Lytechinus pictus: one gene and its partners. The protein of the gene in region 4 purifies or fractionates together with the protein of the main gene of each other region. This does not show direct contact. Links are inferred from orthologs where the notes say so. Each region holds a gene or a part of one and is shown on either strand. Other genes may lie near its edges. The genes, in order: lysine-specific demethylase 6A-like, dolichol-phosphate mannosyltransferase subunit 1-like, RNA-binding protein 28-like and F-box/WD repeat-containing protein 7-like.

Region 1 (7,678 bases), on a different chromosome or scaffold from region 4:
CTGTTGAAATCCAAGGTCAGGTCAGTTGGTGGGCACCCCCCCTTCCAACATCCAACACAAACATGTAGGCCAACACTCTTTGCTTGCGTATTACTAATGCAGGGGTCGCTGAGCGATCTTGAAAGTTGGGGGTGGGGGGGGGGGGGGGGCGGGCCTGACCAAGAAGAAAAAGCAACAAGTAATTGTAATTTTCATGGTTATGAACATTGTAGAAAAAAAATGTGGGGGGAGGAGGGTCCACTCCTTCTGTAGCCCCTGTAATCAACTGGTAGAAACTTAAAGTAAATTTAACCACTGATAAATCACGTTTAGGGGTTTTGGGGTGCATTAAAAACACCCTAGTAAAATCACAAACTTGAATTGAAAATGAAAAGGCATAGGCCTACACAATATAGTCAATGCAGGCCAGTTTATATACAAGCCTAACCACAGTGCAGATCAACTTGAGTGTACACCAGGGGAAAAAATTACATGGGGGCTAGGGGCGATTTAGCCCCCTAAATACTCAGAACAGCCCTTGAAACTAAAATAAAGGAGCCCAGGAAATCCCCATTCATTGCAATGTTAAAGCTTATCCAACATTGCAGATTTAGGCAGTAAGGTGTGAAAAAGTAGCCCCCGAAAATGAAAATAAAAATTATGTTTCGCCTGATGTACACAGTTCTTATATGAACTGCGAAAAGCCTCATCACAGGATCATGATTGTGATTGCATTGAATAAAAGCATGATAAAATATTAGATTCGTATACAATACTGCTATTGGCTGCATGCTTGAATCTTTTTTTTTTAAACAAAATGTAGGTATTGGAGATGGTGAAAATGGGATTTACAGAGCAATGTATAAATCTTTCACAATTATATAAGTGTGGTAAAGAATGAACCCCTTTGCCAGAATCTCTCATATTGATTGCTTTTGTTATTGTTGAAAATTCTGATACTAATCACACACACCCAAAGAAAATGATAATCACAATTTTTTAACAAGCTCATAAAGTACCCCACTAATATTAACAAATAAAAAAAGAAATGCCATTAAATCATTATTTATTGAGGCAAAAATCTTTTTTTTTCTCTTTGATTTACCTCATATCTGAAAATAGTTTTACGCATTATGAATGAATGAGAAGAAAAATAAAAGATAGCATCAATAAATTATTCTTCCCACGTATTTAAACCATCAAAAATTCATCCAGTCTTTGCCGTCTTGATTTCATTGTTGATGCTTTAAAAGCCCACCTTTACATGTACTTTCTAATGCTTCTAGATTTTGTTCTTTGACGTTAATGATGCAGATATTAATTCTCATACATCAAGGTGCATTCTTCTTGCTTTTGAGCCTTGTTTCGCTGTCTGAATCACCTTTCACTAATGTCTCGTAGGCCGAGTTGAATCTTTTCGTAAAGTGGACCGTGCCTGTTCCATGTGAACTGGTGATTGTATGAAACAGTGCAGAATTTTATTGAAAAGGCATTAAAATAAAAGTAGTGTGCTACCATTTCAAAATGCTTCAGCTAGAATAGTTCATATCCATTTGACTCTATACTGAGATGGACTGTAGAAAAATAGAAAGATAACAAGGTATTCAAATCAATAGATGGATGGATGGATAGATAGATAGAAATAGATCATTAATTAGTAAGATTCTTAAATGAATGTACAGATAGACAACTAATGGATGGATGAATGAATGCATGCATAAATTAAAAGAAAGTAAGACAGAATCAATAAATAAATTGATGAATATATAAATGAATGAATCAATAATACATGATTAGATGAATGAACAGTGAATAGTGATATTTTCAATATACACACTTGACCTTTATAGCCAAATACTACACCACACTAAAAAAGACAACTTTCGATATTAATCTTTACCCTTCTTTACAACGGTCAAGTCCCTCTACAAAAAAAATTAGTTATATCAACAAAACAAATGTATTTTGGACTTTTGGTATTGTTTTTCCTGCATGCTGTGGATGGTCAACATGTTACAGTGCTGTTCAAATGCAGAATAGTGATACTAAAAGATGTATATATATTCTCTTAATTTTATATTTTGAATCTCATAGGTGAACACAGTCCTGATTAAAGGGACTGGTATGTTGATGGCCATTTGCTTTGTGTAGGAAAAGCAAATAGCTCACAGCTTGCTCTCCATTCAATCCAGGTTTCGTTAGGAATGTGTAGTTTCATTTTCAACAAGCCGAGACTACAAAGATGTCAGCTACTGTGTACATCTTGTGGTTTATTCCTTATTTGTCCACTACTTAGACCCCTGTTACATCTGAGAGATTCCCTACCTCGGGCCGGCCCGGGGCCTACCTCGGGTCGGAAAGAAATCAGATGTAAACATCCCAAACCTACCTCGGGCCACCTTTTAGCGAACCTACCCGAGACCACATCCAGAGGTAGTCTCGGGTAGGTATCGGGCCGGCCCCGGTCCACCGATTCGTAGATGTAAACGCACACAAGCTTTCGAACCTATCTCGGTCCGTTCGCCAGCTGTCAAATTACGTCATAGCGCGCGCTATCCTCTCCCCAGCCCCGTCGTTCTTCAAATGTTTTGCGGCATGCGACATGTGAATTGTGATTGATAAAGTCTTTGATTTGAGTGGAAAGAAGGAAGCATTTTAAACGTATCCTTTTCAAGTCGATCATATCTTCAACGACTGCTGGGATCATCAGCATTCTTCCTAAATCTCGGGTAAAGGTAAAGAGTCGTTTCGACTCTCTCTGGAAATGATCGGCACACGTCCCACCCTGTCATTTCTGTGTAGCAGCCGACGAGTGTAACGAAATGTAAACAACTTCAATTAGCGCGCGCAAATTATTCAGAGCCTATAGATCGAGAGCGCCCTTTGGTGTCAGCAATCGGATACTGCTCGAAACCGTACCGATAGGGGATGGAATGAACGCTGTGATGTAAACAGACCACATTTCGGACTCAGTCTGTTCGCGAAGCTAATCCACCAATAATCCAGTCAAGGTTGCAAGTGGACTCGGTCGGGTCTCGGGTAGGAAACTTTCAGATGTAACAGGGGTCATAGACTGCTAAGATGCAGAAGGACTTTGAGCGTCAGTCCCTCTTGCTCTGAGGATATTGACCACTGAGGAGAAGATGAAGTGGCTAGTCTATTTCATACATTCTTTCTGTTTTCCAGCTTGAAATGAAAGTCAGGAATTTGAGTATTCTACTGGCCATTTTCAGTGTGATGTCTTGTAATCTTATGTGGAATGAAGAATCAGTTTCTCTCGTACTTATTTGTACAATTGGAAATAAACATTTGTTTGTTGTAAACTTTTGGTCAACAGTCAACACACACACAAAAAAAATAATAAAAAGGTTAAATTTTTCCCATATGAATTCAATGAATGCTTTCCCTCTCCCAATCCAAAGATACAAAACCTTCAATTGAAGAAGTATTCCCTTGCAAAAAGTAAATTTGGACGTTAAAACAAAGTAACAAACTAAAACAAATAAGCGTCATGCTGAACATTTCATCGAAATTGGATTTTCAAAGTTTTGCTCATATTCATGAAAAATGCATGTAAAGAACTAGCAATCTAATGTACATTCTTTTGCATGTCAGTTGTGACCATATATTCAAATATGTGGGTCAAGTTGGTCACCGCCCTTCGATTTCTCAACCAATCATCTATGAGGCATTGGGTTGTAGTATTTTGTTTCCTGTTGTCTTTCATTGTGTCACTTATGACCTTTTGTTATTGATTTTGGAAAGGTGAACTAAATCTAATGTTGTACTATGTATTGATTCTCAGCTAAGTGGTCTATTGATTGTATCACATAGGACAAAACTAAATAAAATGTCGCTGGGTTCATTTTAAGTTCATAACTACGGAAAGGCCAATGCCCTGAATCACAAGTCCTATGTATAGCTTTTGTTATCTCCAATAAAGACGGGAAGGGGGTAAAGAAGGGGGCATGGGGTGCTTGAAAATTGAGATAGCATTAAAAAAATGACATTTAATTTCAATTTCTAGTATTTAGTCATATTTGGTATATAAACAATGTTTGAGTCAATTCAATAATTGTTATTGAACCTTTTTTTCTTCTTCAGAGAAGAGATGAATCTGGCGAAGTCGAATTCACAATTTAACCCTTGACTCATCTGACTAAGATGTATTTTAAGGATATGAAAGTGAATGATAAGATATTGCGTACGTGAAAAGCTATAGATAAGTCGTTTGTCATTATATTTGTATTTATTTTTGCCTGCTTGTTTCATATAAGCATTTGATCCCTCACATAAAACAGATTGAATGTGTTTTGTATGTAGGTTGAAATTTGAAAGCCAACCATGGAATCCAGCCTCCATAATGATGCAGTTGATACACCGTACATGTATTACTCCTATCCAAATCATAAACAACCCTGGTGGGTGTTTCATAAAGCTGTTCGTAAAGTTACGAACGACTTTACGCATGACTGGAACATGTTCTTAGGTCATAACTCAATTACATAGGGATATGACATCGCACAAGAAAGGAAAACCAGTCGTGCGTAAAGTCATTCGTATCTTACGAACAGCTTTATGAAACACCCACCAGGGTCTAAAAGAGTAGACTAGCGGGTCTGAATTCCATTCTATTGTTGCAGTGCCTTTTTTGTAGAGTGACCCATCTCAAACAACAGGCTTGGCAGACCACAAGGGGATCAATAGGGGGTACACATTCAAGTCAGAAAGGGGGGCTAATTACGCACCCATACCAGAAGAGTGCACATGCAAGGGGTGCGTTTTTACACCCCTCTACCACTTCCTGTTGACCCAGGTGTATTGGAAATATATATTGGACAGTAACTTGTTTCTGTGGAGTGATCTTGGAAAGATATCTGGACTTTATGCTACATTTGGGAGTCAGGAGTTACTAGAATAACTAGGTATGTACTGTATAGGGGGAGTTTGATCTGTTTGGGTCTCTTGCCATCTGCACGTGGTTATTGTGTACAATCTTCGTTTCAGTGTTCATGCCTTTCCGGCTTTACAGGAGGCATACACTGCTACTACATGTACATGTGGGGTAAATAGAGTTGTAGAACCTACTACTAGTCTCCAAACTTCTTTGTGCTCAAACTTTGAAACTTGGTCAAGTTCTATCTACCGATTCACCCACACTTTTGCGCTGGATTATATATTCATTTCACTGAAGGGGCGCATCAAGTTCTCCAGAAGTGTGTATTAAGAGTTAGGCCTATAGTTTTCAGTACTCCGGTACCTGACAATTTTTTATAGGCTGTATAATAGTGCTGTGAGCGCTTGGGCATGTATTTGATACATGTAAGACATAATATAATGTTCATGCCTTTTGTGCTAGTTCTGTCCATTTTTAACAAATTAGTTTGTTATAACATGCATGTAGGCTTTTTCATGTACAATATTGGTATCTCTTCTGTGTATTGTGATCAGGAATTTGCTAGCAACAATAACATACATGTATGTAGATATTGATCTTTCATTGAGCAAGTAAGCTCAAGTTCTGTCCATTTTTAACAAAATAGTTTGTTAATACAACATACATGTAGGCTTTTTCAAGTGCAATAGTGGTATCTCTTGTGTGAATATTGATCAGGAATTTGCTAGATATTGATATTTCTTTGAGCAAGTAAGCTGATGGGTCTGTGTACACCACACCATAAACTACAAAAATACATTCATGTAGGCGTAACTCATTTCCAAACTATTTGTTATTGACACTGACTGAATTAGTCATAGTTTATACAGTCTTATAGTGTCTATTATCAGTTAAAGTGTAACTGATAAAAAACAAATCTTTGTAGAGCTTGCAAGTTTGTTTTGGTAGAACACAAAGGCCCGTATTCTGAACTCGGGTTTAAATTAAACTCTGGTTTAAAGTTGTGGTTTAACTATGGAGAGCCAATTCGGGTACAATCCCTAACAGTACACATCCAATTTATTAACTCATTTGACACTCAAATTGTTCATAATTGTCTGGGAATGATAATTGAAGTAATTTACTTTGTTATGAAAGCAACTGGAAAAAAAAAGTAAACGTAAGAGAAACAGAATTTTGAATTTTTGGCAGAGAGTTAGACTTTGGTCTATTAATAAGTTAAACATGACTTCAGAATACGGGCCCAAAGGATTCTCAAGGAATCAGTTTGCTCTTTCTGAATATGGAAATAAGAATCATCATAATGTCATAATCCCACTCAGCCCTCCCTTGAAAACCAGTCATACATGTATGCACTATTATTTATAACTGAGCTACATGTAAATGTTGAAATTCACTTTGAATTCAAAATTCCATCTATTTTTTTTATGAGTACATGAAGACTTACTTTCTTCTAACTACAGTAGGCCTGTCTGATTGTACTTTTACATTTACACTCAGCTGCTTGGTCAATCTTTCAATTTCTTTTGTGCTGATGATGGCTGATTCTTCATGTGTGGGGATTAGTGGGAATTAAGTTAATTATTTGCTGCATGATTTATTAGATGACTGAATAGACCAATCCACATCTGGGGCCGTTTCATAAATGCAACTGTTGTAACTTTGCCATTATGGCAACTACCATGGCAACAGGGCTCAGCAGCCAATCAAAATCAAGGTTACCATGGTAGTTGCCATAATGACAAAGGTACAACAGTTGCAAGTCCTTTATGAAATGGTGCCCCTGTTCTGTACAGCTGTTTACAGATAGCTGTAAAACAGTGTCTGCGGAAGGGAGACTACTCCCAGAACCAGAGATTACTGGACTGTGTGTAATAGGAATGTCTAGCCAGCCTCACTGGCCTGCTCCAGGGTAGAAAAAAAAAATTGGGTTATTGCATCCACCTGTTTCTTACCCTATCTGACCTTGCACGAGGTCACAGTTAGGCCACTGGTCAATCAGAGAGAATGACCACTGACTGGGGACAAGGTCAGTCTGGTCAGTTGGTGTCTTTACCTTTCACTCTGTGTACAGAGTTGGATAGCTTCACATGTAAGATTAGATGATGCCCAACAAGTGGTCTAACCACAGAGCTCTCCATGGTTTGCAATCACTGTCAGTGCTTACTACCAATCGGAATCGTTGTTGCATACAAATTTTGTTCAAAGCACTGACCAGGAACCAATCAGAATCGTTCTTTTATATTAGCAATCCATCACAGATCTTTAATTTGAGGGCCTGAATGTCATGAAGGCCTACATGTAGTCATGATACCATAGCCTTTTTGTAGGAATTCTTGTTTCTTCATCGTTTTTGAAATGGTTTCAATTTAATTTTAGATTATTTAGTCATTTCTTGTGCTTTCAATCTTTTGGAGGGTTTCTTGAAGGATAAAGGATTAATTAATATGTCCATCAGTATGCAGATACTTTACTTCCGTAATCTTCTGTTATAAAACATGGCTTTTTAAGACTTTATTTGGTAACTTTTATATGTACATGTAGCTTGGTATGATGTCAAGTTTTATTTTAGATTATTAGATCATGTCAAATACCATCAACTTTTTGTAGAGATTTGATATACAAGCTTCGTAAGGTATTATTAAGAATAGAGAATTATTCATGAGCCATGTCCAATTTTTAAATATTCATTCTTTTCTTTTATGAATCAAGTTATCTTTTTTTGTACTAGATTCTTGGTGAGTAAGAAAGCCAAGGATAAGGAGAAAGTCATTGAATAAACATTGGTTCAGAGAAAAAAAA
Region 2 (6,944 bases), on a different chromosome or scaffold from region 4:
TAGTTGACAGTCTTAAGTCTCTGTTCAAATGTCATTTATGGTCAATGAACGTGGTATTATGTCATTATATGAATGATGTTTTTGTGAATAATTATTTTATAGTAGTTTTCAAAGTTAGCACTGCTGCTATATTAAATTGCGTAATGCAGGCGAGACTGCCAGAGGCGTTCCACTTGTTTAGTTTCATGGGTTTTATTTTAGCACTGCTGGGCTAAAAGTAAATTCCTGGTTTTTATACCTGTTAGTAGTTGTAGATGTGTTATACAATTTTTGTTTTTGGTTTACAAGTATAGATGAAAAGTGAAATTTGAAATTTGCCATTTATGAAGATAACTACATGTATGATGGGATCAAATTCATCAACTGAAACAGTAAAATAGCCCTAATTCTTCCGCCAGTCAAAAAATAGTTCCAAGTCATTGATACATCTTCCCAATTTGGGCAAAGGCAGTTAAGTAGTTACCATAATTTCTAGAATCATTGTTAGATTTTCAATCATATTCATACACTTGTGTCAATCAGCAATTTATCAAATTGAAAAAAAATTGAATGGGTTGGGTCGAACAAATAGCTTTTGCCTTCTGTTGTAATTAGCCTCACGGCACCACAACCACACCACAGACCTCTACAGAGCTGGATAAAATGCTTCTTACCACAACGATAGTAGTCTCTTTCTCCACTGACACTCAATAGTTTTTTCTCTATTTTTATACACAAGAATAATTGTTGTAGCACCATCAGCGTAGTTTATTCTATAATGAAATGTATCTTGTCATATATGGTGAAAGGAAATATGCTTTTTTTATTGGTTTTGCTTCTTCTCTCAATCAGTCTCTTTTTGTTTCATACTATCATTGTTATTTCTATTATTATTTTTGTTTTTCATTTATTGTTCATATTGTTGTTGAATGTTCATTTTCATCATGATATCACTTTTGCAAACCCCCGTTTTTTACCGCCCTGGATTAATATGGGTGAAGGGTGAAGGTTTTATCGATATGAAACAAAATTGCGAATTTGTCTTGATTGAGGCTATCCAGAATGCATTATGAGCATTATTGCCAAATAAAAACAAGGAATGGAATGGAATGAGCAATATTTTGTCCAAACGGGTTGATGAGCCTCTTGGTTTCGTGAGATCTTTTTTCTTTTTTCGATTTGTCACTGTTGAACACCATAGACGTAATCGAGACAAATGGATGAGCTTAACGTAGAGAAATCGGTGAGTTTTTATTTATTTTTTATTTGATATTGATCACTTAGATGGCCTTTCCATAAAAAAACAGTTTTAATGAACAGTTCAAGCTTGCATTAATTTGCGATGCTTTTGGCGAGGGATTGGGATGATCAAATAAAGAATTTTACAAAATGGCGCCTAGATGACGTCATCATGACCAGATGACCTTGAAAAGCTTATTATGGCATCTCTAAGATAGACTTTATAAATGACATGAAATTCAGTAAAATTGATAGAGCCAATTTAGAGAAAACTTGGCAACAAGAATTGGCTATAAAAAAATAAATATATAAAAATAAAGAAAATTCTAACGAAATCAAGAGGTGATCTGTCATAGACTGACCACCTAAATATTGCACAATAAAAGAGATTAAAATTTTTATTTTTTTATTTATGTGTATTACCTATACCTTTTCACACAACCTTATCATTTCTCCCTTTTCAAGAGTATTCAACAAGTTCTAAGTTCCATTATAAAAGTTCAGTTTTCATCATGATGATCATATTGATCTGAATAAACGTGTTGATTGTATTTGTGATTATGAGAATCAGGGACAGATCACTTAATTCGTCCTCATGACGAATTAACATTCTAGTTTTCATTGAAAATCCATTAAACATAAAATTGTAAACCAAAACCTATCAAAATGAAGAGAACAAGGTCTGAATTCCTAGACTAGTTTTAGACATACATGCATGCTAATATACTGCCATCTAGAGGGAGTGAGGGACATAATAAACTCATGTGCCCTCTGGCTGTGTAAACACTTGACTCAAAATGCCTCGCAAAACCCCAAAATACATAAAAAAAGAGGAATTTCTTTAGAGGAACACCATACCATGTCATGAAGAAGCTGAAAAATGGAGAAGAGGAGGTACAAGAAGCAACACCAGTATTAGAAAGAAAGCTATCCCTCAACAAAACCATGGAGAGCCCCGATCTACAACAAAGTGGTCCCACATGCCAAGATTTACGTAGGGATCTTGATGGTTTTTACCTGGTCAGTGGGAAACGGCTTGCATCTGCTTTACAAAGGACTCATGTGTGCCAAGGAGGTTTGTACTTCTTATTGCTTATTTTTGATACTTTACTCTTTATAAATGTAGGTCATGTAGATCAATACCCATTTTAAAATGCACTTATTATGGCTTATGCCCTTAAACCTAAATATCTTCATGAATATCTAAATCTTAGTTAGATCGAGATCTGCCTGGCTCTGTCTATGTGTGCAAAAAAATGAAAATATAATGAATAAAAGACCATCTTAGTTACAATTCCCCCATCGTAAAAATGGATTGCAAATTTGCAATAATCAATCTCTTGCTTGATAATCAAGATAATATTGCTCTGAAATGGATTCTATATTTTGTAGATAAAGTACAAGTCCACCCTAACAAAATGTTGATTTGAATAATAAAAAGAGAAAAATCCAACAAGCACAACACTGAAAATTTTATCTAAATCGAATGTAAAATAAGACAGTTATATTATGTTTTAAGTTTCGCTTATGTTCACAAAATAGTTAATACGCACATGACATCCCAGTCGGTATGCAAATATATGACTTTTTATGAGGGAACTGATGACATCACTCACTATTTCTTTTGTATTTTATTATATAAAATATTTAATTTTCTCCTCACTGTCATGTGAATGTAGTTTCCTCCCTAAATATGTGGAATTAACGTCATTTTAATATTCTATGGTTCAGTCAAGTTTGTCCTTATTGTCAAATTTGTAAATATTGCAATTTCAAACAATAAAAACAAAGAAATAGCGAGTGAGGGACATCATCAACTATCTCATTTGGTGCATATAACTAGTTTGTGAAAAATTAGTGAAACTTCAAAATGTCATGTAACTTTCTTATTTTACATCTGATTTGGATGAAATTTTCATTTTTGTGCTTGTTAGATTTTTCTCTATTGATTCAAATCAACACTTTTCTGGGGTGGACTTGACCTTTAATTGATTGGCTATTCAATAATACTTGATGTGGAGCGTTGTGGCCCAGTGGATTAGTCTTCTGACTTTGAAACAGAGGGTCGTGGGTTCGAATCCCAGCCATAGCGTAATTTCCTTCAGCAAGAAATTTATCCGCATTGTGCTGCACTCAACCAAGGTGAAGTGAATGGGTACCCGGCAGGATTAATTCCTTGAATGCACTGAGCGCTGAGAGGCAGCTCAAGCTAAAGCCGGGGTAATAATAATGATAAACAATGCGCCTCGGAATAGATTATTTCTAGATAGATGGCGCTATATAAATGCCTATTATTATTATTATGATATTTCCTGACTTTACAGGGCACCTGATTCCTTTGGAAGATTTGTCAAAGAGGGAGGAGCTGCTTTGCACACTGGTCCTACGATGCTCCATCTGCAGCAAAGAGGAGGAGTTTTGTACCTCAGAGAAAGCGTTTGAAGGGCCACTGAAGTCTGCCGAGATCAACAGATGAGCTAGACTGGCAGCCAGTGAAATTGGACTAGCCCTTGGCTTCCTGTTTAAGAGATAATACAGATAACTTCTTATCTACTTCAAGGCCTTCTCACGCACACCATGGTGAAACAGTCTGAGAAGTAAAATGTCATGGTTGAGAGGGTCATACTAAAGCATTGGAGAAGTCCAGGACAATACCTACAGTGTGGGACGATCAATCGAATGATGGAGAACATTTTAAACAAAAGAGATTAACGCATGGTCTGTACCGTGCTCCTCATGAAAGCCAAGCTTGAAATGTGAGAAAATATGTTTCTTCAAAAAAGAAATCCTTGTTGAAGATCTCGACTCTCAAGATTGGTCTTGGTCTCAAGACCAGTTACGTTTCATCTTGGTTTTGGTCTTGAGCCATCTGGTCTTGGATTTCCGGTCTAGACCAGCACGTGACATTGGTACCTCAATAAGTTACATCTGATCTATTATTTACCAGGTTCATTGCTTGTTCACTTTCCACATGTTATGCATTTTAGTTTTAAACTTTGGGGAAACAATAAAATAATTTATCTTTTCAAAGCGAATTAGTTTGGTTAGTGTGTTTTTATACAGTACGTATCAAAAAAAAAGTTTATACTCTTTGCAAAAGCCCTGGGAATTAAAAAATATATGGCATGTGTGTATTTTTTTCACATATATTCTTGGGTTTGGGTCTCATCTATCCAATGAAAGTAAAAGTTTTGACAGAGTGTAACACTTGAGTGAGCACTTTCCATTTTTATAAAGCTCGCAGAAATTCTTGTTTTCACGCTGTGTCATGGGTAACAGGCGAAATCAAACTTACCCTGCGAAACATTTCTCATACATTTCCCTTGCACTTTACTCAATTGAAATAAAACAGATACATTCAAGCATTTCAATTTTGCCATCCAAATTAAAATTTTAACACTTAGTAAGTACAGCCTTTACACTTTTTGTGCCAGCTGGATCTGAGGACATAACTGAATCTAAACAAAAGTTTATATCAGACATCTCCAGCATTTGTCACCAAGTTTTTATCATTTAAAGTGGGTTTACATTTCATTTTTCAATTAATACTTGTTTCTCCACAGTTTTCCCAAGTTTGACAATGATTAACAAAATGAGAATCACGCCTAAGCCATTTCATATAAATCACAGCTCAGTGTAAAGCAAAGATCGTCACGATGGCCTCGGTGTGTGGGGGAGTGGGATGGGGTGCAATGGCACTCTTCAAAGTGTTTTGGGCAAGGAAACAAGTGAAAAAAGGTAAAAGATATTTTCAAATCAATTTTACTAGCTAAATTCCATGTGTTCTTCATGATTAAGTTCTACTTTTATTCATATATATGGTCGCATGTCATAAGGTGGTCCAATTTCGCGAACAGGGTAAAAATGGTCAAAATTTTATTTTTTGATATGTTGTAGCTATTACTATTCTCTAAATAATGAAAAGGTTTTAAGTCTCGAATACCTTTATTTTTCCTTAAAATGACTAATTAACAGCTAATTATTACATAGACGTCAATGTAAATGTGAATTTTGAAATGTGTATTTCTCAAATTGGACCTGCTGCACAGAAAATAGTGTCAAAAGTTAATGCAACATTGGATCACCCTAGTATTTTGCAGTTATAATCTTGAAAAACATCAATAATTAAATCTGTACCAAAATCAAATAATTATCTATTATTGTATGCATATTTATTATACTAATTAATTAACAGTATTTAATTTCACATTTTTGCCCCCAAAATACCTGTCACTGTATTTATATGCTTGGCAAAATGACATCATGGGTAGAAATGTTTGTTGCAATGATACACAACATTTGTACTAAAAATTAAGATTACAAATTAGTTAATTAATCAAATTTCTCTGGTTTACTAATTGATTAGGTTGCAGATCAGAGCTGACATACTTATGTATTTCATTGCTGCATATTTTCAAAATTGTCAATTTTTTTTTGACATTTAGTTCCCTGCTTTAAAATGCCCAGAAATATGAGGATAACAGTCATATTACATATTATAGTAAGTTGTTAATTAGGTTTAATTAATATTCTATCATTCACCACATCCACCGGCTCCGCCACCCCTATTACTTCAAACTTAATGTGCTATAGTTTTTGTTCCTGATATTGTATTGATCTAATTCATAGTAATATATTAAGCCTATAGTTCTAGCTTCAAAATGAGACCTTACACAACAAATTTGGCCATGGGGCTGTGATGTAGCAACAATTTATCCATGGCACCGTGTGGAAAATTGTTCATACGCCACCCTTTTTGCATACCCGACTTATGAAATGCGACCATAACTATTTCAAAGTTCCACACAAATCGTTTTTCACTAACTTTTCAAAAGTAAGTGGTGCTCTCTCAAGCGGAAATACTTTTCAACGGTTATTTCATTCGCTTATTAAATGGATCTGTACCAATGTTAAAATGTGGAAAATCTTCAGGATATTTATTACTTATATATAAGTTTACAGGGTTTTTCTAAGTGTAAACTTTTTTTTTGATACACACTGAAGAGTCTATATTTTCATTTTGAATGTGTGGTACCTTTCGTGCTATAAATTTGTAGTTGACTTTATTTTTCCAAGAAGTTTTTAAGAGATGAAGAACCATCATCCCTTTAAAGCCAGTTTGATGCCACGAGGATAAAATATGTCAGGCATCTGCTTCATTGGATTTTTTACTGTCCGATGTTAAGACAAGATTCCTGCGTATTTACAAACGTACTGACCAGTTACAAAAGGGAATATGCTATTGTAATGTCTACTTTTCACTGCTCCCGGCACATCTGTGCTCCGTAACACAAAGGTTTGCAAATCGCTAAATACCAATGACCAATCAAGATCATCGTTACATGCGCACTCTGTTTAAAATACTGACCGGGAGCCAATCAGTGCGGCTTTTTCATATTTGCAATTCATCGCAAACCCTTGTGTTACGGAGCCCTGGTCGGTAAATATATGAGCAGACCCATTGCTAATTTTCATGGGGACAGCAAAAATAAATGTAGCAATATTTTTTTAAATATAACTTGAAATTACTGGACTGGCCACATGTGACTTTAACTGACACATAACATGTATATATTCCCACAAACTAATATTGAATCATTTTTTTGTAATGAGGAAGTTTGTGGTAATGTTGATTTAAGATTTGTAAAATTCTGAGGGTTTTTCACAGTTTGCAAACTGCAATCATACAATATGTCACCCAATTTCAGGTAAAAATAAGGCTTTGA
Region 3 (6,929 bases), on a different chromosome or scaffold from region 4:
CCCTCCAAAAAAGGAAAAGTTCTGTCTCGTTCGTTTTCCTTCTGTCAAAATTAAAAACAAAATGGCCGATCGATACCAAAACAAACACGACATAGACATCTAACTTTTTCTTTTTTTGAGGGTCCAGTTTGTGCCTCGATGTTCGGATAGCTGAGCCTGTGCACTTGTTCACTGCAACCATCCTGCCTGTGGGGAATCTACAGGTACATGTAGGACTATGGTATGCCAATGCTGTACATAGCACACACTTTAAAAAATCATTAAAATATCACTTTTTTGACCAAAATTACTAATTTCCATACAGTTGCAATTTATTTTTCATTAGTAACTTGGGAATATTTTTTATATTCACCAGAGCGCTCAAAAACTTGAATTTTGGGCATATTTTTATGTACGCCCTCTATTGATGGAAAGTAATATGGCAAGAAAATTTTCATTTTTCAATCTCTAATTTTGATTAAAAAAAAATAATTTAAAGAATCAAATTTACATAAGAGCCAAGTTATATGATGAATAGCTGTATTGGAAACTGACAGTGTAAGAAAATCAAGCATTTGTCCCATAGAAAAAGAGAAAATAAGCCAAAATTGCCACCCTTATTGTGCCACACATGGAGATGTAACTGAGAACAAAGTTATATCATAACCTTGTTCATTGAATGAGTGAGCCTGTGTCACGATAGACCTTCATCCATATAATCGAGGTAAGTGCATAATTTATTTTTTCCCCTTTTATTTGAAGTGCTATTCCGACCCCATTCTACCCCATTTTGGAGAGTATATAGATTTATGTTTGACTAGTATTACACGGATGACTCCTGGGTTTATAGACTATAGACTATAGTATGATATAACCTTGTTCTCTGTTAGTGTTACTGTTAGTACTCCATGTGTGGCAAAATAAGGTTGGCAATGTTTGGCTTATTTTCTCTTTTGCTTTGGAGCAAATGCTTGATATTGATACTGTCAGACACTCAGATTCCCATTACAGCTAATCATCATATAATTTGGCTTTTAATTAAATTTGATTCTTTTTTTTTTCTAAATTAAAAAAAGAAATTTAAAAATGAACATTTTCTTGCCATATTTATTACTTTCCACCAATTTTTTCTAAATAAAAAAAAAATAGAGATTGAAAAATGAAAATTTTCTTCCCATATTATTTACTTTCCAGTCCACCAAAATATGCCCAAAATTCAAGTTTTTGAAGTTTGAGCGCTCTGGTCTGCTGAATACAATTACATAAATGATTCTCATGTCATTGTTTCTAAAAATAAAATTGCAACTGTATGGAAATTCGTATTTTGGGTCACAAAAATGTTATATTTTAAAGTGTGTTGTACACTGCAAGCGTCCGTATCGTGGGTGAAGAACAATAGAAAACAAGATGGCGGCGTAAACATAGGGCAAGTCTCTTCCGTCTTTTCATGATATTTTCCTCATATTTTTGATGAATTCTTGTCTAGAAATAAAATCCATGGCGTAGAAATGTCGGAAATGAAGTTGTATCTCATGTACATGATTTAGGGCTAGATCTTTTAGAAAGAAAGTTGAAATCTCGGGGGGCGAAAGTTTCACTAAACTTTCAGGTTTTTTGGTGGTAGGCTACACGCAAAAGTATAGGAAGGAAGACCTGGCTTCGTATATGAGAATTGAGAGTAACCTTATGTTACTCGTTAGTAAATGTTTTTACTCTCTAGAAGCCTCCTGGCTAATCCTACATAGATTCCCCCACAGGCAGGATGGTTGCAGTGAGCAAACTGTGCCGCGCACACGCTTGCCTTCGCCGGCCTGCCCAGCCCCAGGCGGCGCGGTGCGGCTCCGCTCCTGCCAGTAGAGGCGCCGGTCAGAAAATTGGGATCGTCCCAGAATACAGGGACTGTCTCAGTTTATAAGGATTTCTTCACACTAGAAATCTAGGAAAGTTCATTCACCTGTCAAGTGCCGACACCAATCAAGTGTGCTAGTCAATGTAAACATATCAGGTTTCATAACAAGATTATTGGAAGACGGTAAGTCATGAAAAATAGACGGCGAACTGGGGGGAATTGAGGTCACTGAATCTATTTTTAGCACTCTCAATTTCCGTAATTGCTGTCTTTGTCCCGTAGGGAGAAGTGAAAAAAAAACGTCCCCATAAACAAGGACAGTCTCAATTTATCAAGACATGATTTGTCTTGGTTTATGAGGATATCCTTGTTTTCTGGGACAATCCCAGTTTTTGGACCAGCGCCTCTACTGCCTGCACTCGTCTCTTGTTCATTGAATGAGCGATGAGTGCCTGCACTCAACTTGTCTCAACTCAAAGCCAAAGGCAAAGCCAAACTAGACAGCTGGCAGCCGTCTGTTTCGAGGAGTTTTTTAACTTTTTTTATTTTTTTTATTTCTCCTCGTACACAGACGGCTCGCTAGCGTGCAGCCACCATTAGGGGACTTGCAATGCAAAATCCCCCCGTCGGGGCTCTTCAATTTTTGTCTTTAATGAATAAAAATTTTGAAAATTAACGCGACCAAAATGCAAATTAATATTCCCTCTTGGCATTAATTGCCAAAAAACTGAGAAAAATCAAGTTAAAAGGAACAAAAACAGTGACTTACCTTGACTGTCGCGCAAATTCACTTCCCCGTTTTATCCGATCTTAAGTACATAAACATATGGCCGTTGAGTCCCCTGTACAGATCGCGCTAGAACTTCGGTCTCTGTATTTGGTGAGTGAAGCCAACGGAGTTCAGCTGAACAACCAACATAACAGAGACCGAAGCTTTTGGTCTAAGCCAAACACAAACTATGACGATGTCTGGCGATGAAAATGCCAATTAAAAAAAGGAGTTACACACTTACCTCTATCAGTCACAACAAAGCACTGCTTAATAGGACCAATTTCTCCGAATTGTGACTCCAAATCTTTAGTCGTAGCCGAATATGGCAAGTTCCTTATAAAAAGTGTTGAGCTCACATGTGCTGTGGACGCCGCCATCTTTAAATGTCAATTCTGTACGCGCACGCGCAATAAAGTGCCTCCTTGTACGAAGCGACCATTAGGTAAAAGTGTTTCTTCCTCTTGGTTTCTTTCCACACAGATCAACGCTTTAGCAAGCGACCATTAAGGATGAGATGACAAACTCTCGGCCGCTCTCGGCGGTCCAATAATCGATGAAAGATTGATGACAACAGGCCAGGGTATGCAAAACAAGTACTTCTTAGGAAGTTTCCGAAAGCAGATATGTAGTTCTAGGTTTTCCTCCTATGTGGTCAATTTCACCCAAGATAAATGTTGATTTGAATAAATAGGGGGGAAAAGGTACAAAGCTGAAAATTTCATCAAAATCGGGTGTAAAATAAGAAAGTTATGAAATTTTAAAGTTTCGCTTATATTTCACAAAACAGACAGACGATGATGTCCCTCAATCACTATTTTTTATTTTTATTGTTTGAATCATACAATAGTTCATTTTTTAAGATTTTGACAATTAAAGCCCAACTTGACTAAACCGTATACAATGCTGATACCACAGTCGGGATTCCATTGTCAGTGAGGAATTAATTTATGTTTCACTTGGCAATGAGGAGAAAATTAGAATATTTCATATATGATATAATAAAATACACACGAAAGAGTGAGTGGATGATGTCATCAGTCTCCCCATTTGCATACCAACCAGGAAAAGCATAACTGTTTTGTGTAATTAAGCGACCTTATAATGTCAGAACTTTCTTATTTTACATCCCATTTTGTTGGAATTTTTAGCGTTATGCTTGTTGGATTTTCGTATTTTTATTCAAATCAATTTTTTGTTGGGGTGGACTTGTCAGCCCGGAGGGGGGGGGGGGCAGTCAAATATATTGCTGTAAACATGCGTGACCCCCCCCCCCCAATAAAAATAAAATAAATAAATAAAATAAAAAATAATAATAAATAAACGCACAAAGGCGTGCTTTTTTCGTTTTTGGACGCGGGCCGCGCGTGCACTCGTAAAGGGTATCAAAATCACCGATTTTCCCAAAAAAGTTGCTTTAAAAAACTGGTCAATAGTCAATCGCGGGGTTAAACGTGTTTAAAGTATTTTTTTCCAAAGTTTTTTAAGACTAGCCAAACGTGTTTAGGGTACGTTCCCCCCAAGCTTTTCCCCGGGCTTATTAGATTAGATGACACTTATTCACAGTGTTAACATGTATTCCTTTGTGGAATTTTAATCCTAACTGCACTGGGGGATGCTATACCAATGAATATAGTGTTGCCTATTTAAGCTTATTGTTAGCAATTAGACTAAACTTGTTCAGGGGTAAATTCTGGCGACAACTTGTTTAGGGGCCAAAACGTGTAAATGAAGCCCACGAAAAACATGTTCAGGGGGTTATTCTGCACACAGAGAAAAACTCGTCTAGGGGGTGTTTGGAAATAATTTGGCCACGCGTGTGCACAGCAATACATTTGACTACCACCCCCTCGGTGGACCTTTAAGATGGCTGGCTATTTGCAGAAACTGGACTTCACCTGTAGTCAAATTTCATTGGTTCGTTTTACATCATCAATTTAGGCTTCTTGGATTTGCTTTAATTAATGATAATTGTTTGTAGAATGATCAGGATCAGTGCCTATTTATCATACAAACTTGAGTACGAAACTCGGGCTGATTGTTATTGTTGTTGAATTCCAAACTCATTCAAGGACATTTTATATTACACATTATATGCGAATAATGCGATGACTTGAAAAGGGACGCTTCAAGGATTGTTGGCAAAAATTCATGAAACGAAAAGGCCTGCTAAAATATATCAAACCAAATATTGCGAGTACGAAGTCTGGACGGATTATTATTTTTTTAGACCTGGTAGGTCTATTGTTCCAGTGTAAGCTCAACGTATCTCAGTCGCAATTTATTGAGCGCAAAGAGTAGGTTTTATTATTATTAATATTCAGACCTGAAAACAATAGGACATGTAGGATGCGTATCTCAAAAAAATATATATTATTAAGCCTATTAAAAGCGTGAGCGTCATTAGTTTTTGGTACCTTTTCAAGAATACGGAATATTTTTCCGTTTAATGTTCCTCAGTGTTCTTTAATTCATTTCCCATCCCCGTCCTTTGTGGTCACTAAGTTCCATGGTTTCAGTCATGTTCTCAGCAAAACTTTCAATTCAACGTGAAAGGTTAACAGAAAAAAATGTTTTGTCGCAGTGACTTCAAGTCAGGCGCGTAGCCAGGGGGGGGGGGGGGCGGTGGGGGCGGTCGCCCCCCCCCCCCAAAACGTCCCCCCCCCAAAAAAAAAAAAGAAGGGAAAAAGAGAGGAGAAAAGGAAAAGCGAAGGGAGGAAAGGGAAGAAAGGTAGCTTTGTGGGTTTTTCTTTTTCTTTTTAATTTTTTCTCAAAAGAGAAACTATTCACTCTTGCTCTAAAATGTATATGAATTTTACTTCCGCGCTGCGCGCGGTTAAATGACAATATTGCAGTTCTCCTTTGTATCCCCTCACTCTTTCTCTAACCCTGTTTTTCCACCTCAGCTATATGTGTTTCTTGCCAGTTAAAGTTCAAATGTATACATTAGGGAATGGAATTAGAGTAAGGTTAGTCCGAAGTATATGAAGTTATCTTTTTTTTTTCAAATTGATCGCACAACTTCTGGTCGGGTCGATTCCGGGCGGGTAAAATCTTTATATCAATTTCTGCCGTCACCTCCATATAGGCAACTTCTCCCGCTTTTCAGCTCATTACTAAACAACCATAATTTGGGGGCAAACAGGTACCTATTATAAAAGAGGAAGGTATACAATTCGTGTCGTATTAAATAAAAAAAGTACAATATTTTTTTATCAAATTCTATTAAACTTCATGTCCCTGCACGATCATCTCCTATCCTGTTTTGCGCCCTCATTTTGAAATTTCGAATGACATCTAAGTTTCTTTATCATTCAAAATTAAGCGCTTCAGGATATTAGTCAAAGAAATCATTTTTTTTTATATAATTTAAATAAATCACAGAAGTTTCAACTTTTTGTGCACTATTTTCCTTGTAATGAAGTTCAATAATCTTAGAAAATCAATTGAATTATAGCCGATGGGGTATTAGAGATATCTGCATTTGATGAAACGTCCGCCCTTTGAAATTTCAGAGTTTAATTGCTCAGGGCGGGGAGGAATATCTTCCTCCCGGCATATACCCTAGCTTCTTCTCCTCTGTTTTGCGAGTTAAAGATATAATTGTTTGTAATCAAATCTGATCTTTCCAAGGGACGCATTTATTTTAACCTAGAGAACCTTTATCTCGAGACCCTTTTCTTTGGAAAAAAAAAATTGATAAAACGCTTTAGCTTCCGCGCCTTGCGCGGAGTAATTATTATTTTATCCCTTTTTTGTGCGTTCACAATCACTTTTGAAAACAAGGTTCAAAATCACAATATATTCAACTGAATTGGAGCTGATATAGAGACAAGAGAGACGGCTCCTTTTCATTTTAATTTATGAAACACCGAAAGCTTCGCGCTTCGCGAGGGAGGGGGAAACTCCCCCTCCCTGCACCCACCCCCTAGGGAGCGCGCTTCGCGCGCTCTGTAAGTGTTGGCACCGTTGGCACGCTTCGCGTGCATTTACCGCCCCCTCCAAAATAAAATCCTGGCTACGCGGATGCTTCAAGTTCGTTCCTTTAGTCTGTTTTTATTATTAGTATTACCTGTATCCGGGACCTGTATACAATGCACATTATCAGGAGAATTGAAGCCCCCGAAATCCGAGAAACCGAATTCAAAAACTTCAAAACGGTTTCTACGGACGGGGTTGATGGGTACTTTGGCGGGGTTCAGAAACTCAGGCGGAAACCCGGGAGAAATTTTCGGAATCCAAACATCTCCCAAGAAGATTGGTGATAGAAATATTAGCAACTTGAGACGCAGTCAGGGTCAAAGGTCGCATCTTGCAGGCAACCGATTTGTG
Region 4 (7,290 bases):
AGTCCTATCATCATGGTTCGTACGGCACTGCAGCCGGTTCCTATTCATATCCACCACATTGCTCCCGATACCAGGTACTGTGATCAGGTCCTGGATGCTGTTGAATCCCCCAGAGGCCTGCAATATTACAAACACAAAACATGTATTTTAATCTCAATTTACTCTCAAAATGTTTGAGAAAACAGACATATCGTTCATGAGATATCCAAAAGAGTAACATTGCAATTACTATTGCAATGGGGCAATCAATAAAGAATTGCCAGCTTTTTCATTTTCTCACTTCCTTGAAAACGAAACACAGCACAAGACGAAAAGACAGTAGGGGAAAAAAATCCTGTTTTACTACTCTCACACGGAAGAGCACTCACCACTGGATATGACACAACTGACACAAAGGGTGTTTTTCCAAAGCCATCTTCTATTCCTTTGAGCAAAACACTAGCTCTAACACAGATCTCTCACTAAAAGTCAACTCACTCTCCAAAATAAAGTACCGAGAAGCACCAGTATCATGCCCCACTTTAACATTTCTTGCCTCTTCACTACCATATTAAAGAAACATGTCTTACAAAGATCAACTGGGAAGGAGAAAGGGGAGGGGAAGAGGGTGTCCCAGCAGGAAATATGAGATTGCTATCATGCACTATTAATTTCGCATCCTAAGCCATTTGACACTCACAGTTTGTACGATTACCAGTTTTCAGACAATATCATACATATTTCATCAGAACATACTAAGTCAAAACATCAAATTAAATTGATCTTTCAGAATTAAGAAAAAAAAAAGGATTACAAATTTTCTTTGTAGTCCAAAGTTCTACAGAAATCACAATACTTTCAAGGTAATAAGAATGTAAAGATGCAAAACGTACATTTTCAGCAACATTTGAAGAGGGTCCCCCCCGCAAAAAAAAATTGTTGGTTAACCCTTATTGCCTGTCTAGGTATATATTTTTTTTTCATAATAAACGTAATGACTCAGGCCTAATCCTATCATTAGAGTGTAGAACATTGCTCCCTGGAAATTCAACCCAATCTGTAAAACTGCAGACCAAAATAGATTATCAAAGCTTGAACTTGTGTGAACCATACATACCTCTCTATGCTGGACGATAGCTTCAGCTCTGTTCCTCCCCACACCGAGTAGAGATGTCAGGGCATCTACATCAGCAGAATTGATGTCTACCTTTGCCATGGTACGGGAAGACTACCTTTTCTCTCAGCTGAATATCACAAATATAACGGGGGCAAAAAAAAAACATGCACTGAAATAACAAGTTCCATTCCAATTCAAAACATGGAATGGTAGGAGCAGAAGCATGTACATACAGTCTTTACAGTCATAAATGCAACTCACACATTATTCAGTGAACCCAGAGCTTGCGAGAACTTAACGTATCTCACTCTGTCATGACATCAACACCTTGCACTCGCAGCAACATACTTAATCACTTTGGATATTTTACTGGATGCCAATCTTTTATATCTTATCATGAAAAAAAAAATCTTGGATTCTTGGGTGTACATTATTTGTTGGACCTTCAGCCTTCTAGCACTAAGCAGTTCTGGACAATTGACTGAAGAATCAATGATTTCTAACTAACAGTACCGTAGATCAAGACATCCGTTCATTAGACAATTTCCACTGGAAATTCTCTTTTTTTTTTTGCTTTTCTTAATTTTTGTTCAAATAGGGCCTTCAACAACTAGTCTGGAAAACCTATATCTTGACCCTATCAACAAAACTGGCTCAGCACTGCCAACAAAGTAAGCTCTTTCAGTCTTTGTGACCGAGTTAGATAGCTCAGCCTCAGATGGACAGTGAAAGTGAATGCACACAATAAATCTAATGACGTGCACATTTTCGAAGAGATCCTGAACGCAGTAGAGGCGCTGGTCAGAAAATTGGGATCGTCCCAGTATTACAGTAATTACAGGGACTGTCTTCAGTTTTCAAAGATTTCTCCACAAAAGAAGTAGTATAGAGTTCATTCACCTGGCTGAAATAAGTGCCGACAACTAAACAAGTGCGCTAGTCAATGTTAACATTACCAGATTTCATAACAAGATTATTGGAAGATGGCAAGACGTGAATAATAGACGGTGAAGTGGGGGAACTAAAGTCACTTCATCTATTTTTTAAATTAATTTTAGCACTCTATTCCCTTAGTCGCTGTCTACACTCTACAAGACTAGTCTACATATCTTGCACTTTTTGCAGGCTGCAGAGTGCAGGGCCAGGGTAAGTGGAAAAAAAACCTGTCCAAATTAGTAATAAATAACGACAATTTATCAAGACATGATTGATTTGTCTTTGTTGATGAGGATATCCTTGTTTTTTCAGGGACAATCCCAATTTTTGGATCAACGACAACGGCCTCTAACGCGTTTAACTGGAACGCCGCGTTGTGAATATGTGATTGATGGAAAATCATGTTGTTACGTGCACTCCCACTCCCAGGCCATGGCCGGGCATGGCCATGCAGAGCACTCAAAATCAAATTCAAAAGATGACTGGGTTTTCATGAAGAAGTTTGGTGCAATTTTTTAAGATAAGATTCATGAAAACTTGAAAAGCGTTTACAGTTTGATCTAAACTTCACAAGTTTGGAATGACTGATCACGCATAATCATCACACACGTCATACACGTAGGCATACACATTAACCGTACCGCGCCGGGTACGCGATGCGGTAGTACGGTACCGTACCTGTGCTGTGCTGCAGCTGTGCGGCTGCAAAGCCGGCCCCAAGGCGTTTCGCACTGTCGTCAAGTCCTTCGGGAACCACAGGATAGCATTTCCTGGTCGAAAATTTCATATTTTCACGTAAAGCAACTTCTCATTAATGTTATCATGATCGTAGAAATGTAGTAAAATGAAATAAAAGGTGCAAAATGTAGAATATCTGCTCCTTTATGAGGTCTACTTTGTAGTATTTTCTTCTGTGTACGGAGGAGCTGATAGTATCATTGAACGCAATTAATCCATCTTACATTACGTTGCCAATTTAAGGATCCTTTATAATAGCGATCTCCAAAAATTTCTTATCTCTGATATGAAACTGATGAACGACATGTATACTGAATTGATAATAATAATAATGATAATAATATTTGACTGATCATAATAATGAAATGATATATGAGAAAATAAAAAATTTGATAAGAAAGTAAATTTACATCTTATTTTTTGCTCGGATTTCATAAAAAACTTTTCGTGTCAATCTCTTGGGGATACGATTGAAATAGACCCCAAGTTTGGGTTATTTCAATTCGACTCATCGTCGCGTCTATACTACCATTGATCTATGCGCATAGTCTCATTGCCATATTGTCCACTCACCATTTCGTATAATTAACCAGTTGTTCCAATAGCCCTTTAGTCCATAAACCATTTGGTCTAATTGGATAAGTGTTATTGGGCGAAATGAATAAAAGAAAATGGATATTAGACCAACTGCTTATTAAACGAAATATGGTCAGGGATGAACTGGTGATTAGACGAAGTGATTATTGGACCAAATGGTTATTAATTGTCGATCACTGATAGACGAAATGTTGATGATGGACGGAATGACAGTTTTTTTAGACTAAATGAAGGTTGACCATGTGATGAGTAGACGAGTTGGCAAAAGACGAATCGGCAGTTAACCATCTCTTGGTAGCATCAGAGAGAGTTTTTGGTCGCATGTTGGAAAACTTTGTGCTCCTTTATATATATCAGCTATGACTTCCATATCATGAGATTTCAACCCCCCCCCCCTCCTCCGCCCATCTATCAAATTTGAGGGGATTTTCAGAGTTTGAAACTTGAATGACATCCACAATTATGCCTTAGCCAACTTCACTGAAGTATAAGTTATAAAGGTGAAATTATACACCGTAACTTTCGTCATTAATCAAATGAAATAGGGGGTCTACAATAAAAAAAGAAATTATTTAAACAGCACGTACATGCAAAAAGAGAAGATGGATTACACGTGGGCCTATGCGAGAAGTCTCCGTGGGCATCAACGAGTGGGGGGTAGCGCAGCGCCCCCTCCCCCTCTCTCAATGAGGGACCACCAGAAATGTGGCAAAAGATCATGAAGATATGAAAGTGAAAATAGAAGAATGCACTCTAAAAAGTGAAGTGCTAATTTAGCACTTAATGTCCTTGTATAGTGACTGCACTTTGAGTGCTGATCTTTTCCTAGTTCAAATTTGAATGAGCACTCAAAGTGCAGTCATTATACAAGGACAAATAAGTGATAAATTAGCACTTCATTTTTAGAGTGTAGAAGAAGGAGGAAGGGAAATAGAAATGTAGAAAGAAAACGGAAAAGAGACAATCTAATTTGTTTTCTCTTTCACCTTTTTTCTCCCCATTTTAGCCTTCCTTACTCTTCTTAGTTCATGGCTCCCCCTCTCTCTTTGTCTCTCCCCCTCCCTGGCTTCCTTCTTTCATGTACGTTTATTCTCCCAACAGACGTGTTTGGTGACGAAATTTGCCAATAAAATTTTAGACCAATCCTGAATAGTGGCAGGGCTTGGTCGTATCATATTGTTTATCACCTTTGCAAATGTCCATATAAAAAATATAGCTTTCACAAAACTCATTTATTCTTTATTCTCTGTGAGATCCTTAACATCACTAAAATAGTGGTGATGGAGTGTTTTTTAGTATATTTAAAATCCGTAGATTCATTGTTTCGTTGGCCAATCTTGAAACTTTATGTTGAACGGCTTTCGGCGGCTCCAAATTAAGCTTTTTCTGATTAAAAGTATCGGATTATCAGTGCGAGTTGCGGCGATGGTGAAGTTGATCGAAATTTCACTTATATGATACTCTGGTTGTGTTCTTATATTTATTTTATTTTATTTTTTACTCTCAGCGAAGTTATGCTGTTATCATGATTTTTTTTCGGGGTGATGAAAATAAATTTATTTTGATGTAATTTTCTAAAGAAATTACATTACATGTATTAAAAAAAGGGTTTGGCTGCATGCAGCATTGTAGAAACATGATTTCTTCTTTTAAAGGGATGGTTCAGGCTGGAAATATTTATATCTCAATAAATAGAGTAAAATTCACAAAGCAAAATGCTGAAAATTTGATCGAAATCAGATAACAAATAACGAAGTTATTGAATTTTAAAGATTTGCATTATTTCGGTGATACATGCAGTTCTAGCCATGTCTTTGTGAATATTCATTAGGTGGGCTGATTATGTAATTTCCCAACTTTTTCTTTTGTATTTTATTCTATGAAATAAGGTTTATTCACAATAATATTTTTCTACCAAGAACTAAAACCTTGGATTGACAACTGATTTAGTGCATTAGTTATTCTTGCCGCAACAGCTTATTTCATCATAATGGAGACACATCATTTACACATGTATGAAATAATGTAAAATTTATGATTTCATGTAAAACATAAGAAAAGGGAAAGTGGGGATGTGAAATCATCAGCCCACCTAATGAATATTCATGACATGTGCATAAAACTGTTTCCACAAAATATTGATAAACTTTAAAACTCAATGACGTTGTTATTTGTTATCGGATTTTGATAAAATTTTCAGCATTTTGCTATGTGAATTTTACTCTATTTATTTAGATGTAAATAATTTCAGCCTGAACCATCCCTTTAAACTATCATCCCCTTGATACACACATCTTCACCATATGCACCACCACTAAGCAGCAATTACAATATTATGGTTCACTATCACTTCTTAATCTTATTCAACGTTTACGAATTTTGTTTTAAAATCATATTTTATTTATTCCTCATTATACATAACATTTTAAAATAATGAATAATACCAAATCATTAACATAAATATAGAAGGAAAGGAAAGAGAGAGAGAAAAAAAACGTTTGGTCTACGATCGTCGCAGTGCGCCCGTAGGGTGATCGTATAGGCACATCCTATTAATCGTATTCTACAGTGCGTATCAAAAAAAATTTACACTTTGAAAAAATCCTGTAAAATTATACATTTGTAATATCCTGAACTCTTTTCCACATTTTAACTATGGTACAGGTCCATTTAATCAAATGACGATATAACTGTCGAAAAATATTTCCGCTTGAGTGAGCACCACTTACTTTTGAAAAGTTAGTGAAAAATGATTTGCGCAGAACTTTGAAATAGTTATGCGAATAAAAGTAGACCTTAATCATGAAGAACACGTAGAGTTTAGCTATTAAAATTGATTTGAAGATATTTTTACCTTTTTTGACTTGTTTCCTTGCCCAAAACACTTCGAAGAGAGCATTACACCCCACTCCTCTCCCCCACACACCGAGGCCATCGTGACGATATTTGCTTTACACTGAGCTGTGATTTACATGGAATGGCTTAAGCTTGATTTTCATTTTGTTAATCATTACCAAGCTTGGGAAAAATGTGGAGAAACATGTATTAAATGAGAAATGAAATGTAAACCCACTTTCAATGATAAAAACTGAGTGAAATAATGCTGGAGATGTCTGATTTAAACTTTTGTTCAGATTCAGTTATGTCCTCAGATCCAGCTGGCACAAAAAGGGTAAAGGTTGTGCTTACTAAGTGCTGAAATTTCGATTTGGGTGGCAAAATTGTTACAAAATGCTTGAATGTATCCGTCTTATTTCAACTGACTAAAAGTGCAAGGGAAATGTATGAGAAATGTTTCGCAGGGTAAGTTTGATTTCGCCGTTTCCCCTTAACACAGCGTGAAAACGAGCATTTCTGCGCAAACAGATTTCTGCGAGCTTTACAAAAATGGACAGTGCTCACTCAAGTGTAACATTCTGACAAAACTTTTACTTTCATTGGATAAGTGAGACCCAAATCCAAGATTATATGTGAAAAAAATTACCCACATGTTGTATATTTTTTAATTCCCAGGGCTTTTTCAAATTGTAAACTTTTTTTGATACGCACTGTATAGTAGTCTATGCTATAGAAGTGATCCCCACATACTGTAAATCGTTAACGTTGTCATATAGACCGAAGAAATTTACGGTGCGGGGATGGGGGCGGGGGCTGAGTCGGAAGTAGCATTAAATCACATTTTCACGGTACTTTTCATGATTTCGTACACGCTTACTGAAAAAGTTTGGGGCTGAAGCGAGCCTCACCCCCTTTCCCGGTGTCACGGCCCCTTAGATAATCGCACTCATGTGCTTAGTCAAATGTAACCGATATAAGGAAAGGAAAGGAACGGAAAGGAAAGGAGAGGAAAGGAAAAGAACAGGGTAAAATATAATACTTTCTGAATATCTAAAAAAAATCCACCACAAAATTATAGTTTTGTA

Evidence for each region.
Region 1: the proteins of F-box/WD repeat-containing protein 7-like (region 4) and lysine-specific demethylase 6A-like purify together in Homo sapiens (affinity purification with mass spectrometry; 3 studies listed by BioGRID and IntAct, with this or other methods). This does not show direct contact. The link is inferred for Lytechinus pictus from reciprocal best matches to the Homo sapiens genes FBXW7 and KDM6A.
Region 2: the proteins of F-box/WD repeat-containing protein 7-like (region 4) and dolichol-phosphate mannosyltransferase subunit 1-like purify together in Homo sapiens (affinity purification with mass spectrometry, with the first as the bait; 3 studies listed by BioGRID). This does not show direct contact. The link is inferred for Lytechinus pictus from reciprocal best matches to the Homo sapiens genes FBXW7 and DPM1.
Region 3: the proteins of F-box/WD repeat-containing protein 7-like (region 4) and RNA-binding protein 28-like purify together in Homo sapiens (affinity purification with mass spectrometry, with the first as the bait; 3 studies listed by BioGRID). This does not show direct contact. The link is inferred for Lytechinus pictus from reciprocal best matches to the Homo sapiens genes FBXW7 and RBM28.

What each region holds. Positions count from the first base shown.
Region 1 is NC_087260.1:15,816,960-15,824,637, reverse strand, and holds the start of lysine-specific demethylase 6A-like, read left to right. Parts: upstream 1-4,662; 5' UTR 4,663-4,904; intron 4,905-7,678. UniProt on the Homo sapiens protein: Histone demethylase that specifically demethylates 'Lys-27' of histone H3, thereby playing a central role in histone code. Demethylates trimethylated and dimethylated but not monomethylated H3 'Lys-27'.
Region 2 is NC_087246.1:37,878,994-37,885,937, reverse strand, and holds the start of dolichol-phosphate mannosyltransferase subunit 1-like, read left to right. Parts: upstream 1-3,933; coding exon 3,934-3,974; intron 3,975-6,944. UniProt on the Homo sapiens protein: Transfers mannose from GDP-mannose to dolichol monophosphate to form dolichol phosphate mannose (Dol-P-Man) which is the mannosyl donor in pathways leading to N-glycosylation, glycosyl phosphatidylinositol membrane anchoring, and O-mannosylation of proteins; catalytic subunit of the dolichol-phosphate mannose (DPM) synthase complex.
Region 3 is NC_087263.1:7,833,305-7,840,233, forward strand, and holds the start of RNA-binding protein 28-like, read right to left. Parts: upstream 3,003-6,929; 5' UTR 2,978-3,002; coding exon 2,842-2,977; intron 1-2,841. UniProt on the Homo sapiens protein: Nucleolar component of the spliceosomal ribonucleoprotein complexes.
Region 4 is NC_087249.1:44,557,765-44,565,054, forward strand, and holds the start of F-box/WD repeat-containing protein 7-like, read right to left. Parts: upstream 3,003-7,290; 5' UTR 2,711-3,002; intron 1,224-2,710; 5' UTR 1,196-1,223; coding exon 1,097-1,195; intron 118-1,096; coding exon 1-117. UniProt on the Homo sapiens protein: Substrate recognition component of a SCF (SKP1-CUL1-F-box protein) E3 ubiquitin-protein ligase complex which mediates the ubiquitination and subsequent proteasomal degradation of target proteins.